2 linked regions of the Alligator mississippiensis genome follow. The protein of the gene in region 1 interacts with the protein of each later gene in a pairwise test. Links are inferred from orthologs where the notes say so. Each region holds a gene or a part of one and is shown on either strand. Other genes may lie near its edges.

Region 1 (9,143 bases):
CTACTGATGCCTCAGTACATGCACGACAAGGTGCGGTTAGCCTTACTGACTGCTTCCTCGCATTGGTGGCTAATGTCCATCCTGGAGTCAACAATGACTCCAAGATCCCTTTCAGCCACTGTGTTGTTGAGAAGGGTGTTCCCCAGCCTATAGGTATGCTGCAGGTTCCTTCTCCCTAGATGCAACACCTTGCACTTGTCTGTGTTGAATTCCATTCTATTCTCATCCTCCCACCTCTGTAACCTGTCTAGATCTAGCTGGATTCTGTCCCTCCTCTCCAGTGTGCCCACTTCTCCCCACATCTTTGTGTCATCAGTGAATTCGGACAGTGTGCTTTCCACGCCCACCTCCAAGTGACTGATGAAGATGTTGAATCTTAGGGGAGAACACAACAGATTTGGTAAAAGCTTCCTGTCTAGGATTACTACTCTGGATGCAAGCTGCTCAGCAGCCTTATCCCCAAAGACATTTGCATCCTCCAAGTTCCCACAAAGATTGAAGCTTCAAAGTAACCCAGACAAAACAGCAGAGACTTTAGGGCTGGGATCTACCCTGGGAAATGGCAGTCTGGCACAGTCAGCAATGAATGATCTAAGGCCTCTTTGTTACTTACCTCTAAACTGTCACTCCCATCAGCCTCTCTATCTATTATGTCAAAGATATCTTCGTGGATTTTTTCACCCTGCAAGGCAGAACCAAAACAACATTCATTCCATTAATTTCTCCTTGAGGAATCACAGAGAAGTAGGTCTGGAAGAGACCTCCAGAGGTCATCTAGTTCAATGGTTCTCAACTATTTTTGTACCAGAATTTGTAAACATTGATGGCCAGTCCCGACTCAGTAAATACTTTAAGTAGAAAACAGCTCCCAGACCCTGCCAGTACCTCTCATTCCTGACCCACAGGCCCCTGGCCCTGCTGGTGCCCCTCACTGACCTACAGCCCTCTGGTCCTGCCAGTGACTCCCAACCCACAGATCTCTGGCCCTGCCAGTGTCCCCCCAGTTGGCTACTCCTCATGCTGCTGGAAGCACAGCTGGCACAGGTTCATGGTGGCAGCAGAAATGAGTCTCGCTGCCCTTGCCCACTCTCCCATGCTGGGACCCACCTGCTGGGCCATGGAAGCAGCTCCTGCCTGTGTCAGTCTGGTCAGGCTGCAGCCCCGTGCCTGCTGCAGGTGCACAACTCTGGAGGGGCATGTGGCCCCCCCATCCCCCCCAACACACTGAAGGGCTGGGGATGGGAAGCAGCAGGTTGGGAGTGAGGGGTACCAGCAGCAGGGCTGGGAAGGTGGGGGGACTGTGGGTTGGGAGTGAGGTCCTCCCCCAAATGTTGCCTGTGCCCATTCCTGCCCCCCAATGCATTGTTTATGCCCCCTCCACCCCATAGACTTACCGGTGGGAAGCTGCAGGAGCTTCTCCCCACCCTGCTTAGTTGCCATGTGCATACGCACATGCATATGGTGCCTCCTGGCTGATCACCTTCTACCCACTCCCCACAGCTCCAAGCAGCCCCTTGTATGCTAGAACTCTGCCAGCATGCAAGGGCAAACATGTACTTTCCTGTGTTTTTCTATGACGGTCACAACCCTTTCAAATATTCTTATGACCAACTTTTGGGTTGCAACCCAAGGGTTGAGAAACACTCATCTAGTCCAACCCCCCTGCCAGAGGCAGGATCATCCCTATCCAAACCATACTATACAATCCATAATCTAAACTCTACATAAAACCACCATTAACCCTGACACAACACAGACATAACACCTTAACCTGCCACAGGTATGTGCCAGGCATAATGTCATGCAGCTTCCAGCCATGCCATTAGATCCTTTGGGGGTGTTTTTTTACCCATGAGTCCATCCTGAATGGGATGGTACTTGCATATCAGCACTTAGGATCATAAGAAAGTAAAGTTGGAAGGGACCTTATGAGGTCATTTAATCCAGCTCCCTGCTTAAGGCTATTCCAGCCAAGAGCTTTTCTTTCACCTGCTCTTAAGAATTTCTACGGATGGAGATTCCACAGCTTCTCTATGTAGCCAGTTCCAGTGCTTGACCTCATACTCAAACAGTTCTTCCCAATTTCCAAACTAAATTTTCCCTGCTGCAGCTTGAGGAAATTGCTCCTAGTCCTGTCCCCTACAGCCACAAAGAAAGAGCTTTCTCTAACTTCTTTATAATCATCTTTCAGTATTTCAAACTGTTAGCAAATCCCTCCTCAGTCGTTTCCTCTCCAGACTAAACAAGTCCAGTTCCTTCAGTCTCTACTCATAAATCACGGTCCCGAGCTCCCTAACCATTTTCATTGCCCTCTGCTGGACTCTTTCCAATTTGTTCACATCTTTTCTGTAGTGGTGGGCCCAGAACTGGACACACTACTCCAGATGTGGCCTCACTACTGCCAAGTAGAGGGGAATAAATCACTTCCTTTGATCTACTGGCAATGCTCCTACTAATGAAACCCAGTATGCTGGTAGTCTTCTTTACAACAAGGGCACGCTGTTGACTCATATTCAGCTTCTCGCCCACTGTAAGCCCCAGGTCCTTTTCTATTGAGCTGTTGCTTAGCCACTCAGTCCCCAGCCTGTACCGGTGCATGGGATTGTTTCATCCTCAGTTCGGGATTTTGCACTTGTCCTTAATTAACTTCATGAGATTTCTTTTGGTCCAATCTTGCAATTTGTCAAGGTCTCTCTGAATCCTAGCTCTACCCTATAGCATATCTACTACTCCCCCCAGCTTGGTGTTATCTGCTGCAGGTGCACCTCATCCCATCTGCCAGGTTGTTGATGAAGATATTGAACAAAACCAGCCACAGGACCACCCCCTGGGGCACTCCCCTTGATAGCAGTTGCCAACTAGACACAGAGCCATTGACTACTACCCTCTGAGCTGGATTATCCAGCCAGTTTTCTATCCACCTTACAGTCCATTCATCCAACCAACCAACCAACCCATACTTCTTTAGCTCACTTGTGAGACTGTTATGGAAGACTGTATCAAAAGACTTGCTAAAGTCAAAGTATATCACATCCATTGCTTTCCCCACAAGAGCCAGTCATCTCATAAAAAGCAATCAGGTTGGTCAGGCATGATTTGCCCTAGGTGAATCCATGCTGACGGTTCCTAAACACCACTGCCTCCTCCAAGTGCTTAGAAATGGATTCCCTGAGGACCTGTCCCATGATTTGTCCAGGGACTAAGGTAAGGCTGATAGGTTTGTACTTTCCCAGATCCTCCTTCTTCTAAACATGGGCACTATATTTGCCCTTTTCTGATCACCTGGGAACTCTCCTGATTGCCAAAAGTTTTCAAAGATAACAGCCAGTGGCTCTGTAACCACATCACCCAACTCCCTCAGCACCCCTGGGTGCATCACATCTGGCACCATCAACTTGTACATATCCAGCTTTTCTAAATAGTCCCTAACCTGTTCTCTTGCCACTGTTGGCTGCTTACCTCCTCCCCAAACTATGCTGCCAGGAGCAGAACTTGCCTGTGAAGATTGAGGTAAAAAAGGCATCAAGTACTTCAGCCTTTGCTGAATGGGACTGCCCCCCTGTTCAGTAAGGGACCCACATTTCCCCTGATCTTCCTCTTCTTGCAGACATACATGTAGAAACCTTTCTTGTTACCCTTCATGTCCCTTGCTAACTGCAACTCCTGTTGCACTTGACCTTCCTCATTTCATCTCTGAATGCCAAGCAATACTCTTATACTCCTTCCTAGTAGTTTGTCCAAGTTTCCACTTCTTGTAAGCTTCCTTTTTGTGTTTTAGCTCACTGAAGAGTTCCCCGCTATGCCAAGCTGGTTTTCAGCCATACTTGCTAGTCTTCCTGCATATGGATGGTTCATTCCTGCATGTGCCAATGTGTTTTTAAGCCTCCCCAAAGGCATTGGGTGTTGTCTAAAGCTAAGATTGGGGACTTCAACTGGGGTGTGCCAATTCTCCTGCTAGGAGCAAAACTGGAGGTTCCTGGATAGAGGGTCTCGCCATTCTGCTCAGGGTCAGACTGATCGCTATATTTGGGGTCAGGAAGGAATCTTACTCCATGGTCAGACTGGTATGGTCTGTGAGGATCTTTGATTTCTTCTATAGTAGTGGTATTCTATGCAGGACCTCTTGAGCATATATTGAAAACATTTTATGGAAGCAGGACCTTGGATGCTGTGGTTCCCCTGCTTTACCTGTGGCACGTTAGGGTGTTAGGTCTGCGTTTCATCAGGGTTGAGGGTAGTCTTATGTACAGTTTAGATTATGGTTGTATGGGATGGATTGGATAGGGATGATCCTGCCTCAAGCAGGGGGTTGAACTAGATGACCTCTGGAGTGTCCAACTTTTCTATGACTATGACTAAAGTACAACCAGCAATCCTGGATGCCTTTTCCCTTCAGACCAGTCTCCCTGGGGAACATTTTTGGAAAGAGTCCACCAGAGAGAGACAATTTGTCCACATATTTTTGAAGCATGGGACCCAAAACAACACAGAGCGCTGAAGGATTCCGGAATCCCAGCAGGGCTGAAGGAATTCCCTGGTAAGCTCTTAAGCACAAGGACTAGACATATGCTTGCACCAGCATGCATGAGGCCCCTTACCTGGGAGAAGCCGCTGGCCCAGTTGTTTCCGGCCCCACCCCCATGCTCAGACAGGTAGATGTTTTCAGGATTGTACAGGTTCGCATAAGGAGAGTTCAGGATGGAGTGGATCACTCGGGGCTCGAGGTCCAGAAGCACAGCCCGAGGGATGTAATGTTCATCATCTGCCTGTAACGGGGAGCGGTGAGAAGGCTAAAGAACATGATACAGTCATAACTCAACAGCGCTTTGCTCTGCGGGAGAAACCGAGGCAGGCACCGGCTGTCAGCCCAGAGCTATGAACACAGCAAGCATCAGCTTTGGGTCCTGGTGAAGCGGACTGGCAAGGCAACAGTTATTACTGGGCACCTCTCTCTCGAGACAGCACCTATTTGTGTCCGTGGACCCTGCTGTGCCGGGTGCTGCATGCGCACACGCAGAACAGACGCGGCCCCCTTCCACAATGTGCTCCCAATCGTAGCAGATACATGACAACTCAGTGACGGTGGCCGGGGGGCCGCCTGCATCGGGCGCCGCAAGGGGCACAGGCACCTCCGTGCGCGGCAGGCGACAGCCTGGGGGCAGCACGGGGCAGGGGCTGGGATCGGAGCGGCCCTGGGGGGGACCGAGCCCGCACCTGGTAGAAGAAGACGTCCTTGCGGTCCGTGCCCTCGGTGGCGAACTCCTCCACGATGCCCTCGGGGCTGATGCCGTGCTCGGCGCACAGCTGCTTCCAGAACTCGAACCCGACTGCGGCCAAGGAGGGAAGAGGAGGGGAGGCGGCGTCAGCCCCCCGGCCGGCCGGCCCTGCCCGCCCCGGCCTTGCCTGCCCCCGGCCCCGGCCCCGGCCCCGGCCCCGGCCCCGGCCCCAGGCAGGGCACTCCTGGGCGCCCCCGCCTGCCCGGCCCTGCTCACTCTGGTTCCCGCACTGGCCCAGCTGCAGGGTGATGATCTCCCGCGGCATCTCGCCGGAGCCGCCGATTCCACCGCCGCCCGCCCCGCGTCGCCGGGAGCCCGCCGCGCCTGCGCACTAGGTGGCAGCTGTCCGTGCAACAAGATGGCGGCGCCCATGCTCAACGGTGGGCGCCGCCATGTTGAGCCCCGCGCGCAGGCGCGGCGGCCGTTGCCGGGGCGGGGCCAGGGGGGGGCGGCGGATGTTGTTCCCGTGGCGCAGGGGAGGGCAGCGATGGCGGCGGCGGGCGGCCCCGGCGAGCGGGAGCGGCGGGTGCGAGCGCTGAGCGCCGCCCTGCGGGCGCGGCTGGGGCCCTACGAGCCGGCGCTGAGCGCTCTGCAGGCGGCGTTGGTGTGGGAGCGGCCGGGTCGCAGCGCGCTGGGCTGGGCGGCCGCGCACGGCCTCTTCTGGTGAGCGGCGCCGGGGCGGGACACGGGGGCCCAACTCCCCCCTGCGGGCGTCTGAGGCGGGGAGCGGACTCGGGCTGTGCTGCTCGGACTTCGGCCCCGGCCCTGGCCAGTGCGGCCCCGGCCCCCGGTCGCCGCCTTTCCGGACGTGGTGCGATCCGTGCGCAGGTCCCCGCGCGGCTGGAGCCCGTGTCCGAGGCCGGGCTGAGCCCTGCGCGCCCCGCTTGGCCCGGCCCGGCCCGGCCCCCCGTACGGCATCTAGCCCGCGCACCACTCACCTCAGCCCTGCACATCCTGCTCCTGAAGCTGGGAGCTGACCCACAGAGTCGGCCTGCTGAAACGGAGCTTCCCGCTCATGTGCTTTGATGGGCAAACTGGGTGTGAGCGACTGCATAATTTGGTTGCTTTGAGTGGCTTTGCACTGAGTACAGATCATGAGACTTTTTGGGTGTCTTGGCGGCTGTGCTAGCCAATTTGGTCACCTGTCCGCTTCCCCTCTTCCCCAAGTGCGTGAGTGCTACTTCTAGTGAGAAAGGGGGTTTGGTGTGATCTAATACAAGCTCATGTGGGCAGCCCGCTCTCAGGAGTCAATTCTTTGGAGTTGATGCTGTAGTTTTCTGGCAGTTTACTGCCGGGTGGAGCCTCTTCCTCGTCATCAGACCCGCATGCCAAAAAGACTATTCAGGGATTTCTTGGTAGACTGGAGGTAATTGGTGTTAAAATGGCTATGCCTAGTAATTAGTGTTTTGGCTTATGGCAGTTACATTTTTACTGCCAAAGAGAATAAATCATGCTAATCCACAGCTGGAGCACTGAGAGCAGGACCCGTATTCCACCTGCTCCAAATAAATCAAGTTGGACCCAAGATGACAGTGTTCTAGACTGGTATGATTCTGAATTTGAAGCCCAGGACTGTCAAGTAGGTTGACCATCATGGCTCTTGGTTATGATCTTCCAACATCCTTGAGCAAGTGATAGAGAAGGAAACCTCTTCAGCTCCCTTAAGACATCGTGCCTCAAACCCCTGTCCCCCTCCAAAAAATCCCATCATTCTGCTTGATGAGGAGTGTTGAATTCTGGAGCGAGTCCCAGCCACTGCTGTTAAGTTAACCAAGTGGGATTGGTGTCTGGGTAACTACAAACAAAGAATATCCCTCCAGGATCTGAGCATCAGAAGACAGCCCCTCAGAGTGGAGTTGGCCACAAGCAGGCTTTTGGGCCTGGCCTTCCATCTTTCATGCACAGAAACAGGAATTAATTTAACTGCTCCTCGATCACCTGAAATAAAAGTCAACCTAATGCATGCTTTCCTAAGATGGCGCTTGGCTAGCTAGAAGCTACATGGTAAGGGGCACTGAGATTCTATTAAAAGACATTGGCAGAAGTGTGGATTAGCTCTTGTGTATTGTTAGTATTGGTCTCATACCTCAGGTGCTCACACATTTCTCACTGCATTTGAAGCAGACAAGGTTCTTTGGGTAAATATGCTCTCTTTTATTAGACCAACTAAATAGCTGGAAAAATTGTTCTTTGCAAACTTTTGGACATAAACACCCTTCTTCAGGAGTAGGGAGAGTTTGCTTACTTGCACTTGAAACACTTGAGAAAACTCTGACTTGGGTTCACAACCTAGGCAAAGTTGCATAAGGTGGAGGGAGAGAGGAGAAAGTGAAGAATTGGGGTGGTGGTGGGGGGGGAAGGAAATTTACATCTCTAGTGCAATCTCACTACAAGAGCTGCAGGTTAGAGCTTGGATCTTGTGTTTGAATCTCAGCCATTTACAGAATTAGGGAGAAGGAAGCTTCAAAATGATTTTGTCCTCTGAACTTGGAACACTTTACTGCTGTGTAGCATTCTGGTCAAGTTCTGTGTTGTGAATTGGCATTAGCAGAGTAATGAATGTAAGTTTCCTGTTGTCTAGCTTTGGCTTCCAGATGTTTAATTGCTAAGTTAGAAGGGTAAGATTCATTCCACAGTCCTTTAATCTCCAAGCTCTATTATAAAAGGACAGTGTTGAGGCTCCGCTTCTATGCTGGCATCAGCAGCAAGAGCCAAATCATAGAGGGAGAGTTGAACATTTGAGTGTTTTATTGCCTGAATATCTTACCTTATTAGTAGCCTACTAGGATGTTTTCTATTTTTAAAGTAAGTCTGCTAGTTAAACTAGAAGCCTTGCACAAAGTAACCCTGGTGCTGTTAGAGCTGCTTGGAACATGCTCATTAATGTGTTTATGCAGAGAATCTTTTGTGTCAAGGGAGCTGAAGCCCCTGGTATTTAATCAGCCAGCAGTTATCTTGTACAGTACTCATCAGTGGCATCTCTTGAGTTTGGTTTACTCCTTTGCTGTCACTTCCATCTGCATTTCCTCTGTGGGAGAATTGTGAAGTGACTCTTCAGGGGCAGCCTGTGAACACTGCCCTAGGCTGAGGGCATTGAAGGGATTACTGGTCATATGCCCTGGTTCATAGAAATCCTTAATGATGGCGCTGTCTTATATGGGGCCTTTGTCTCTGAAATCACCTCCTGTGTAGCATCTTCCCCAGGTGTCTCTGTTCCTTTGGGTTTTCAATAAATATTTTCAGGATTTAAGAATCTCAGGATTTGGAACGGGCTGGGAAGGTTTATTTTGTTGCATATATTTTTTGGTCAAATCCTATTTGGTTGTTCTGGGCAGAGAGGTAGTTTTCAGAACTAACCCACTTCTATTGCTTTATTTTTATATGGGTACTGCTTGCAGTGTGTACTAGTTTGGATGGATTTCAAGGCAGATTGCTAAGTATGAGAGTCTCTGTCTGGAATTTAAATGATCTGCTTCTCTAATGATATTGGATTCAGACCTTACAAAGCACCAAGCTGAGGGGAGAGGGAGGGAGAATCCAGTATAGAACTGAACAGATGCTACCTTTTGAAGTGGTAGGATTTGTACCTTTTGTGTGTTTAATTTATGGCAACACATGATTGTCTTGGTAAGATGTGGCCCTTGAACTTCTTAGACTCCTGTCACACCTCCATAACTCCTGTGAATCAAATGGAACCCTATTTCAATAACTAATTTATTATTTTTATTGCAGCACTGAACCCCGGGTGAGGGTGGTGGTTGGGAGAAGAGTGAGCGCTTAGTTTCCTACAGAGTAGCAGGGCAATTTATGCGCTTAGCTGACTGTCTTGAGCTCCTTGTACTGGAGCTGGGGCAGGATGAAACTGTT
Region 2 (9,504 bases), on another chromosome or scaffold:
AGCCTGCCTTCCTTTAAAATAGTAGGAGCACCAAACTCCCTGCTATAGACCCCTTGCCCCAAAGACTATGCAATGCACTCAGATTAAGTTCAGAAAAACAAGCCTATGCATAAATTATCCAAACAGTACTCATTAAATATACAGCATGGTCAGTGCTGTGGTATTAGTGGTTTTGAAATAGACTAACTCCTTTCATTTTCAGGGTTTCTAATAGCAGCCTTTTAACAGCTGCTTCATCTTCACCATTTTTGTGCATTTATGCAGAGTACAATTATGTTATAAAGTAGATATTGGGGCTGAAAGATGCTGTGTACTGTTGTTTCTGCATTTAAGTGGCATACAGATAACTGATGTTCATTTTAATGGAAGCAATGGGCAACAAATTGTCACACAATGCTGGTCCCAAAGTTAAGCAAATTTTGCCCTTCTTCAGCGTGCATGTCAGTTGATGTACAAAAAGATGCCTGTTAAAATGTGTTACCATCATCATATTTCTTTATGATGACATGACAGCAGCTGTCCTAAGCAATGGCTCAGAAACAGACCCATTTATTATTAGAACTGGAGTCAAGCAAGGATTTGTAATTGCATCAACATTTTTTTTCATCTGTATTGCAGCTATTCTGTACATCATTGCTGATAAGTTTCTATCTGGAGTCAGCATTCAGTACTGACAGACTGGGATTTCTTTAATATTAACTGGTTATGTTCCCAATCCAAAATAACCAACACTTCCATTACTGATCTTCAATATACTGGTCATTGTGTTGTGTATGCCTGGGACTTCCTGATTGCTTCAAGAAAACCAAACTACCTTACCAATCCCAACCCAAGAAGCTGCTTACAATTAAGGAGAATCTTTGGAGAATGTTGAACATTTCCCATACCTAGGTAGCTGCCTCTTCCAAAAAGTAAATATAGATGATGATATTTAACATCAGATAAAATCTATCAGTACCGCCTTTGGACATCTCCAAAATCATGTTAAATGATTATGACATCAGGACCCATACCAAACTTCTTGTTTACCAGGCTGCCATTGTTCCTATGCTGTTGTATGGGTACAAAACCCAGACAACATACCAGAAACACCTGAAAGGTTTGAAAATTACCATCAGTGATGTCTTCAGAAAATTCTCTATTTCAATTGGAAGAACAGATGCTAGTATTCTAGTTCAAATAAATTCTACCAGCATTGAAGCTATGCTTATATGACTGCTGTCATGACCCAAAGGTCTGATTTTTTTGTGTGTGTGCTTCGGCACTCGAATTATCCCCGTGGGTATACAGCTTCATTGCACGGAGGAGTTCTGCTGCACAGAGAACCTGCGTGTAAAGGAGCGTTCCAGCCACTTTGCAGCGATCTTTGCAGGGTGCATTTCCTTTGCAACACAGAAATGCACGGTGCAAAGAGTTCCCACTCGTCGTATGTAAATTCGTGCCCTGCAATTGGCTAGTTCTAAATTATTCACACGTGGCGGCTAGCGATTGGCCTGCTAGCCGTATAAGAGGCTTGAGCAGTTTCCGCCCAAGCCGAAGAGGACTCCGCATCCATCTCGTGCGGACTCTGGGTGTGCGCGGCAGGGTAATAGAAACCCTGTGTGTTGCCCAGAGGAGTTTGGCGGCCTGATCCACCGCCCACCTCTTCCCGTCTTCGAACGGAGCCTACTATAAGACGTACCGACGAGTTTAATGTGCGCTTGTCCTGGACATCTGGAGTTCTGTCTGCGTGGAGCCTAGCAAACTCCACGTGATCGTTCGTGTTTTGTCTGCGTGGAGCCTAGCAAACTCCACGTGTGTTCATGTTTTCTGTTGTAACCGCAACTCAAGCAAGTTCTCAGCCTGCACCGCGACCATCTCGGTGTAAGTAAAACAATCTTAAAATCAACCGTTACGTGTCTGTGCCTAATTCTAATTCAGCGACCTCCCTCTCCGACCCGGCCTGCCCGGGCTGCCGGCCACAGCCCACATGCAGAGCGACGAAAAGGGCCCGGGGCCTGACCTGGCCCGCACATGGCGACGAGGATGGGATCAGGATCACCGCGGCACATGGCGATGAGCTCAGGAGAGGGCTCGCTAGAGTTAGAATTAGTTGAGAACTGCCCTTGGAGAAGTGGGAGACGCAGCGTAGCAAGCATCGGAGAACTGGAGGCGCACCTCGTGTACCACCAGGCGGGCAGAACGGGCAAGAGATGTGTCTGTGGATACCTTTCGTTAAGGGGAGAAGAGGGAACTCCAGAAGTTGGAGCCCTAGAAGGGAAAGAAATATATCTTCACCCCGCGGCGTTGAGGTGTATCATGGCCGATGAGCGGGTCCTGTACAGGCCCCTCGAGGCTGTGACCCTTGCTGAAGTCGACCCGGCGAGCGCAGTAAGCCCGACCCCCACCCGGGAGTGTCTCCTTTGCTCACGGTGTGCCCGAGAGATGGGAGAGACGATGCCAATCGGCTGGTTTTCCCCTTGTATGGTGGTGCCCAGACTGAGGGGTCAAGATCGTCTGTCCGAGCTCCGCGAAGACCAGGAGACGGAGGACCGTGCCGTAAATGAGAGAGTGGTCCTACAGTGCGACAAGGGGGGAAAACTAAATGCAGCTTTTCAGACTATGACTGATTTAATGAGTGAAACTTTAAGCTTAAAGACCCAGCTGCATATGGCCGTTCGGGCAGTCGGAGAAGCGGCTGAGAAAGGGGATCTTAAACTGCCCCAACAAGATGGCACCGAGCAGAGGGAAGACCGCGTGGAGGAGCCGGAAGTGAGGGATGGAGCTTTGGGAGAGCCCGCGAGTGTTCGGCCGGTAACTCCGCCCAGCGACGCAGCGTCGGTTCCGCCGACCACGCCCCTCTGCCGAAGGGAGGGGGAGTCAAGCAGAGGAGTGCATCCGCCCCTCCCGCCTGAAACAACAACAACCCCCACTGTAACAATGACTACAGCTCCGACAGAAACAGCAACAGCAACGACAACTCGCGAAGAAACTGATCAGCCTGCAGTACAAAGCAGCCCAGTCATTGGTCCGCAGAATGCAGTTCAAGCTACCACCTATTACGCTCGTTCCAGAGCCGAACTGCAGAATTTGTGTAGAGAATCCAGGATCCGACCCGAAGAAACTCTGGCTGTGTGGTTGGGACGTCTGGTCGTGGAACTTGGGTCCGACCTCCTGGACCAGGAAGAAGCAAGCTTCTTGGTGAGACAAGCTTCATGGAGTAGGGGACATGTCACTGACATCAACATGGTGGCATTTAGCGTCCACTGGCCTATTCCGATTCCAGCGCTTGTGGCAGGAGTGATTGAACAGAAGGCCCACGCATGGCACGATGGCCGACCAGAGCATACCAGTGCAGAACAGCTTGTACTAACTATTATCGGAGTTTCGTATTGCGCCTGGAACCCAAGAGAATGCATGTTGGGACTAACACCGCTCCAACGAATGCGACCGTGGCCTCATCGTCACCTGCGAGACCCTGGAACCGTTCCGGTGACTCTCGACAGCATAGATAGTTGTCTTAAAGTTTATGGGCAAAGAAACATCGTGGTTTTGCGGATTGTGCTGAACCCACTGGTCGATCATCCTGTGAGTAGTCTCCTTCATCAGTTGTCAAGACTGCACGTCCTAATGGAGCCAAGACTATCCAGTGATCGGGAGTATCAACGCCCGACCGAGGCTCAGAACACGAAACACCGCAAATCCGAGCGTCCAGTATTATGCCAGAGAACGCAAGAGGAGTCATACATGTTTGGATACCTCCTGCAGCGCTCTGGACTTAATAAGAGACAGCTTCGGATTTTAGGAGATGCGGGACAATGGCAGCTAGCCTACGAGTTAGGTTTTCACTATCTAGAAGAAGGCGACGACGACTCATTGACGATTTCGTCGAGTTGCTGAGTCGGAAAAGAGAAAGAGCTGTCTAGTATAAAATCGTGTTTACATATTTGTATTTAATAAGTAATGATAAGTTTAATCGACTGCATTATCGTGCGGTCCTGTGTGATTTGTGAATAACCATTTTGAGAGAGTTCTTTTACAGATCAGGGATTCGGAGTGCGTGGTGGAGAGAGGCCCCGAGAAGGACAACATCACCAAAAGGAACAAAGGCCTGACGCGCGATTCCACCATGACGCCCACCGAAGTCATGATCGTTCAGTTTTTTGTTATGAATGTAATTTTATGTATATGTGTGTGTGTCGGTTATTATTTGATTCGATCCCTTGAGGACGAACTTTTATTGTTGACTGATTTTGTTTTTGCTCGTTTAGTTTCGCGAACCATTGACAGAGCTGTTAATAACCCGGATGATAGGTTTGAAGTATAATTCTATTGTGCCTTCAGCAAGGGGGGATGTCATGACCCAAAGGTCTGATTTTTTTTGTGTGTGCTTCGGCACTCGAATTATCCCCGTGGGTATACAGCTTCATTGCACGGAGGAGTTCTGCTGCACAGAGAACCCGCGTGCAAAGGAGTGTTCCCGCCACTTTGCAGCGATCTTTGCAGGGTGCATTTCCTTTGCAACACAGAAATGCACGGTGCAAAGAGTTCCCACTCGTCGTATGTAAATTCGTGCCCCGCAATTGGCTAGTTCTAAATTATTCACACGTGGCGGCTAGCGATTGGCCTGCTAGCCGTATAAGAGGCTTGAGCAGTTTCCGCCCAAGCCGAAGAGGACTCCGCATCCATCTCGCGGGGACTCTGGGTGTGCACGGCAGGGTAATAGAAACCCTGTGTGTTGCCCAGAGGAATTTGGCGGCCTGATCCACCGCCCACCTCTTCCCGTCTTCGAACGGAGCCTACTATAAGACGTACCGACGAGTTTAATGCGCGCTTGTCCTGGACATCTGGAGTTCTGTCTGCGTGGAGCCTAGCAAACTCCACGTGATCGTTCGTGTTTTGTCTGCGTGGAGCCTAGCAAACTCCACGTGTGTTCGTGTTTTCTGTTGTAACCGCAACTCAAGCAAGTTCTCAGCCTGCACCGCGACCATCTCGGTGTAAGTAAAACAATCTTAAAATCAACCGTTACGTGTCTGTGCCTAATTCTAACTCAGCGACCTCCCTCTCCGACCCGGCCTGCCCGGGCTGCCGGCCACAGCCCACGTGCAGAGCGACAAAAAGGGCCCGGGGTCTGACCCGGCCCGCACAACTGCCAGCTCCATGGACAAGATATGTTACATGGGTGCCTGACAACTGGCTCCTAAAACCGGTCCTATACTCCCAAATGACTGACGGTCACCACTGTAGATGTGAGCAAAAGATATTCAAAGACACCGTGAAGGCCAATCTGAAAAAATGTGACATTACTATCAATAGTTGGGAGATGTTAGCACTAAATCACCCCCAGTTGTACCGTAATGTACAAGAAGGTATCAATCACTTCAAAAAAACTCATCTCATCTTTATCATGCATTACCTAATTACGAAGTACATAAACTGTCATTCTAAACGAAAGAGTGTAGAATAAGGTCAGAATATCCTTAGTGTCAGGGCATGGAATTAATATCAGCATGTTCCTCATGTGAACAAACTATCAGGGTCAAAATAAATCTTTTCAGGATTAGACAGTTAAAAAAAAAACGATGACTGGGCGTGGAGGGTTCCATCTCCGCATTTGTTTGCCCTCAGCTAGCTTTGTTTTGGCCCATGTCAGCAGGGACATCAATGTTTAATGTCTGTTCAGCTACCTGAGTTCTTGATCCAGATCTTCCACTGATATCAAGAAGCACCAGTGGGTGCCCCACACTGTCTATAAATCAGACCTCACCTAGGTGCTTAGAAATAAAACTACCACCTGTGTTTAAACACACATTTTAATACATTAAACATTGGCCTGTTTGTGCCTTCAGAGAATGTCTAAACAGACATTTGCTACCTAAAACACTGAAAGAAATTAGTTGTTATGGTTTTATCTGAGAACAAGCAACTCATCATCATTCACTGTCCCAGTCTATAGTGGAAGACACAAGGATTATAATTTTATAATGAAAATAATGGCATAAATGCAGAAACATACCTATATACTTTCCACGTGATAAACAATAAATTCTTATTTTGAGGCAGCTCCCTAACTGGTTAAAAAAGGAAGTCAGAATGACTCGATGAGAAAATGTTGTTGTAGCCATGACAGTCCAGAAAATATACAAGAAGCCGGGGGGGGAAGAGATTGTTGATATCTTTTATTGGAGCAATTGGGAGAGATGTTAAACAAATGTTCAGGCACAAAGAATCTTTCTTCAGATGACAAGAGAGGAAATTTTGCATGTTCTGCACCTTTGCCCTACAGGGCTAAAACCTGCAGTTTTTCTCCTATCTGTCCTTAGTATGGAGTCCTTCCATGATATAAAATTTAGGGTGAGCAATATAAAATATGAGACTATTTTAATAGTTTCTTCTTTATTTTGTGGAATTCGCTTGTTTTAACTATGAAACAAAAACATTAGAAAATACTAGCAGGTTACTAAGCAGTCTGGAGGTGTTGTAAGTGTTGTGATTACCAGTATCAATAGTATCAGGTACCAAAATCAAGATAATGGACATGGCTCATGGCTTTGTAATGCCAGTTTTAGACTGGCAGACCTCTACTGAAGCCAGTAGAGCTACACTGTCACAAAAATAAAGCAAGGGGCCATGGGTCTGCTGACATGAAGTCCTGACTTTGAATAAGGACTAATTTCATAGACCTTTTCTGCTTGTGAGGAGTTGTCAGCAGAAGATCCTGGACTGCTCCAGAGCTATCCCGTGCTGAAATAGAACTGTCCAGGTTTCAATATTTTTCTTAAGTCCTTCATTCACTGGCACTTTTTGACTGGATAATCTTGTCAGCTTCCACAGAACTGACACTCTCTTTTCATACCCAACAGGAATTTAAACATCACTGGACAGAACTCAGAGGAACCACACTTTTCTTCTATAACGATAAGAAAACCACAATGGTGAGTAGCACTATGGGCTAATGTGAAGATGTTTGAGCAATTTCGATAGTACTTATCATCAAGCAAGAAAGCATGTGTGTGAGAACTGCCTCTCTCAGTTCCATCCTCCCACACTTTGGAAACCCAAAGAGCAGAAAGCAAGCCCAGAAACCAAAATGCCTGGTGAAGTCATGGGAAGTGAAATTATGATACAGCAAGTTCTTCCTCACCACAGTCATTCAGGCTACACTGAGCATTTGCTCTAGGGATGAGATCTATCTGGAGCTGCAGCACAGGCAGGTGGACTATCTTCTTCAAGGTCACCCAAGAAACACAGAGGCAAGAATAGAACACAGATCTCCTGAGCCCATCAAGTAGTCAATCCACTAGGACCCAATGGGCATTTTTAATGGACATTAAAGATCACCTTGTTCACAGCACTTAAAAGCAGAGCTAAACATTCCCTCCTTCATTGTACAGCTGAGAAGCAGCTGTTAATCTATATATGGTTTTCAAAATAGTGGGGGAAAATGCTGGTTGAAAGATGCTATTATTATGATACATACAGCATGTATATCCTCTTTATCTTTTGTACAGGCTCTTTGACAGAAAAGCAAGAAATTCTACTCCAGTGCCAAGTTTATGCCTTCCTAACACAAAATTTCTGCAGATCAAAAACAAGCACCAGTATAACAAGAATTATTTAATACCCTGAACGGACACAGCTTATCTTGCTTGAACTGTGTTTGAAACCAAGCTCCACAGTTGAAGGCCCCACCACAGTTTTTCAGAGCAGTGTGCATAGGGATGTATTTTTTCCTTAAAACCATTTTATAAAGGGCCTGATTATTCTCTCCCATGTGACTAGAATATTGTTGTGGCCCCTTGACTTCACTAAAGTAGTGCTTGATTTATGCTTATTTCAGTGAAAGATGTAAAAGACTTATTGCTCTAGGTTGTCCTAAGAGCATAGTTTACAACAATGTCATAACTTAGCTCTTAAATAAAAAATTTCAAGCTGCAGTGGTTAGCAAAACTACTGCAGTCTCGCCAGCAACAACTTTGTTCAATGAACATGACAGTAAAGACTGTGTTTTACAACCACCAAGAGTCTATATTAGGCCAGCAGTTCCCAGATAAATTGTTGGAAGAATCAAAACCCTCCAGCAGTACGTTTCTGCAACATCTCCCAAATGTTTCACTGTACAAGATGTGTAAAGAGAGGGACTATGATAGTGAGAATTTTCCCCCTTTATAGTTTTTCCCTGCAAGCCCATGCATGAATCATCATAGACATCTTCTTAGGACTCAAAAGCCAGCCATAACAAGTAAACTTTGTTTTTAAATTCCAGAGGGCATATTTAATTAAGTAATCTGTTTTGCATATAGAGGTTGTAGCTGAAGTTGTTTACATCTCTATACAGGAAGTATCATCTTAATGCCGTATTTCCTGGCTGTCTAATATTTACTTTGTCTTTTCAATTGTGACTTTAATGTTGTAAGTATGTAGAGGGAAGCTGGGAACAGGCAAAGTGAGGGGAGAATTTTATCTCTGCACTGTGGCTAATATACTGGTAATGTAATGGCCTCCAGGCAGCTAGATGCCTTTCTGGAAAACTATCGCATCAGCAATAGCACCTGAGAGGAAGGAGGGATCTGGTCTGGGGAGCTCAGGCTGAAGTTCTTGGACACTGTCCTGAAAGTAAACATTCCTAGACAACACTGAAAACACTTATTACTTTGTATTAGGCAATCTCAAACACACTTACAATATGCATTTATTTGTAAGACCAGACCATACATTATAACTTGAGCTCTCTTTTGCATCACCTGTTCCTCAGGTTTCTCCATGTAGCACCTCTCCCCCTGTCCTTTCCCTTCCTCCTGCCTCACAACACCTTTCAGGTTTTGATTGTCCTGTGTTAGAGCCAGTGGGACCTACCTGATCTGGCTGCCAGGGTGAGTCAGTAAAATAGGACAGCCAAATGCACCAGCTCTGAATTCTAGTATAGGGTCAGCAACCAGCTTGATTTTTTTTCTTGAGAATAATGACCTTTGAGTGATAGGTATGCAGTGGATTTATCTGCTACACTCTGGGTATATCTACAAATGCAATTAAAGACCTGAATTTTCTGTGCAGAAAATTCTGGCTCATTAAAGCACTCCCAGACACGCATCTGAATGCGTGCCCATCAGGAGCAGTTCAGTCCAGGGCTACTCCCACCCTGCTCTGCCCCCCTGCAGCAGCCAGGGGAAGCTCCAGGCTCCCCCAGGTGCCAGCCCTGGGCTGGCAGGGGCCACAGGGGTTGGTCCCAATCTTCATGGGACTGGGGGAGCTGTCCTGGCTCTGGGGGCAGCCAGCCCCAATCTCCACATTGCTGGGAAGCAGCTTGCCTGAGCTGGGACAGCTCTCCCCACCCCTCAGAGATTGGGACAGGTCTCAATCCCCAATGTGGCTAGGAGGTAGCTGCCCTGCAGCTGGAACATCTCCCTCCACCCGTGGAGACTGGGGCATAGCCAGGCAGCAGTGACCCCCTGCTGCCTGGGTTGAGCAGGAGCAAATTCCTTCCGGTCAATGTCTACACTTGCACTCCTGCACATTAGTTAATGC

What was found.
Region 2: the proteins of RETREG3 (region 1) and STAP1 interact in binary tests that used the Homo sapiens proteins (3 or more experiments, as listed by UniProt). The two-hybrid records come from large-scale screens. The link is inferred for Alligator mississippiensis from reciprocal best matches to the Homo sapiens genes RETREG3 and STAP1.

What each region holds. Positions count from the first base shown.
Region 1 is NC_081827.1:152,039,874-152,049,016, reverse strand, and holds the start of RETREG3 (reticulophagy regulator 3), read left to right. Parts: upstream 1-5,752; 5' UTR 5,753-5,763; coding exon 5,764-5,939; intron 5,940-9,143. Other genes in the region: TUBG1 (tubulin gamma-1 chain), read right to left, coding at 614-682, 4,599-4,766, 5,215-5,327, 5,493-5,541. UniProt on the Homo sapiens protein: Endoplasmic reticulum (ER)-anchored autophagy regulator which exists in an inactive state under basal conditions but is activated following cellular stress.
Region 2 is NC_081825.1:133,205,980-133,215,483, reverse strand, and holds the start of STAP1 (signal-transducing adaptor protein 1), read left to right. Parts: upstream 1-5,336; coding exon 5,337-5,348; intron 5,349-6,842; coding exon 6,843-6,914; intron 6,915-9,504. UniProt on the Homo sapiens protein: In BCR signaling, appears to function as a docking protein acting downstream of TEC and participates in a positive feedback loop by increasing the activity of TEC.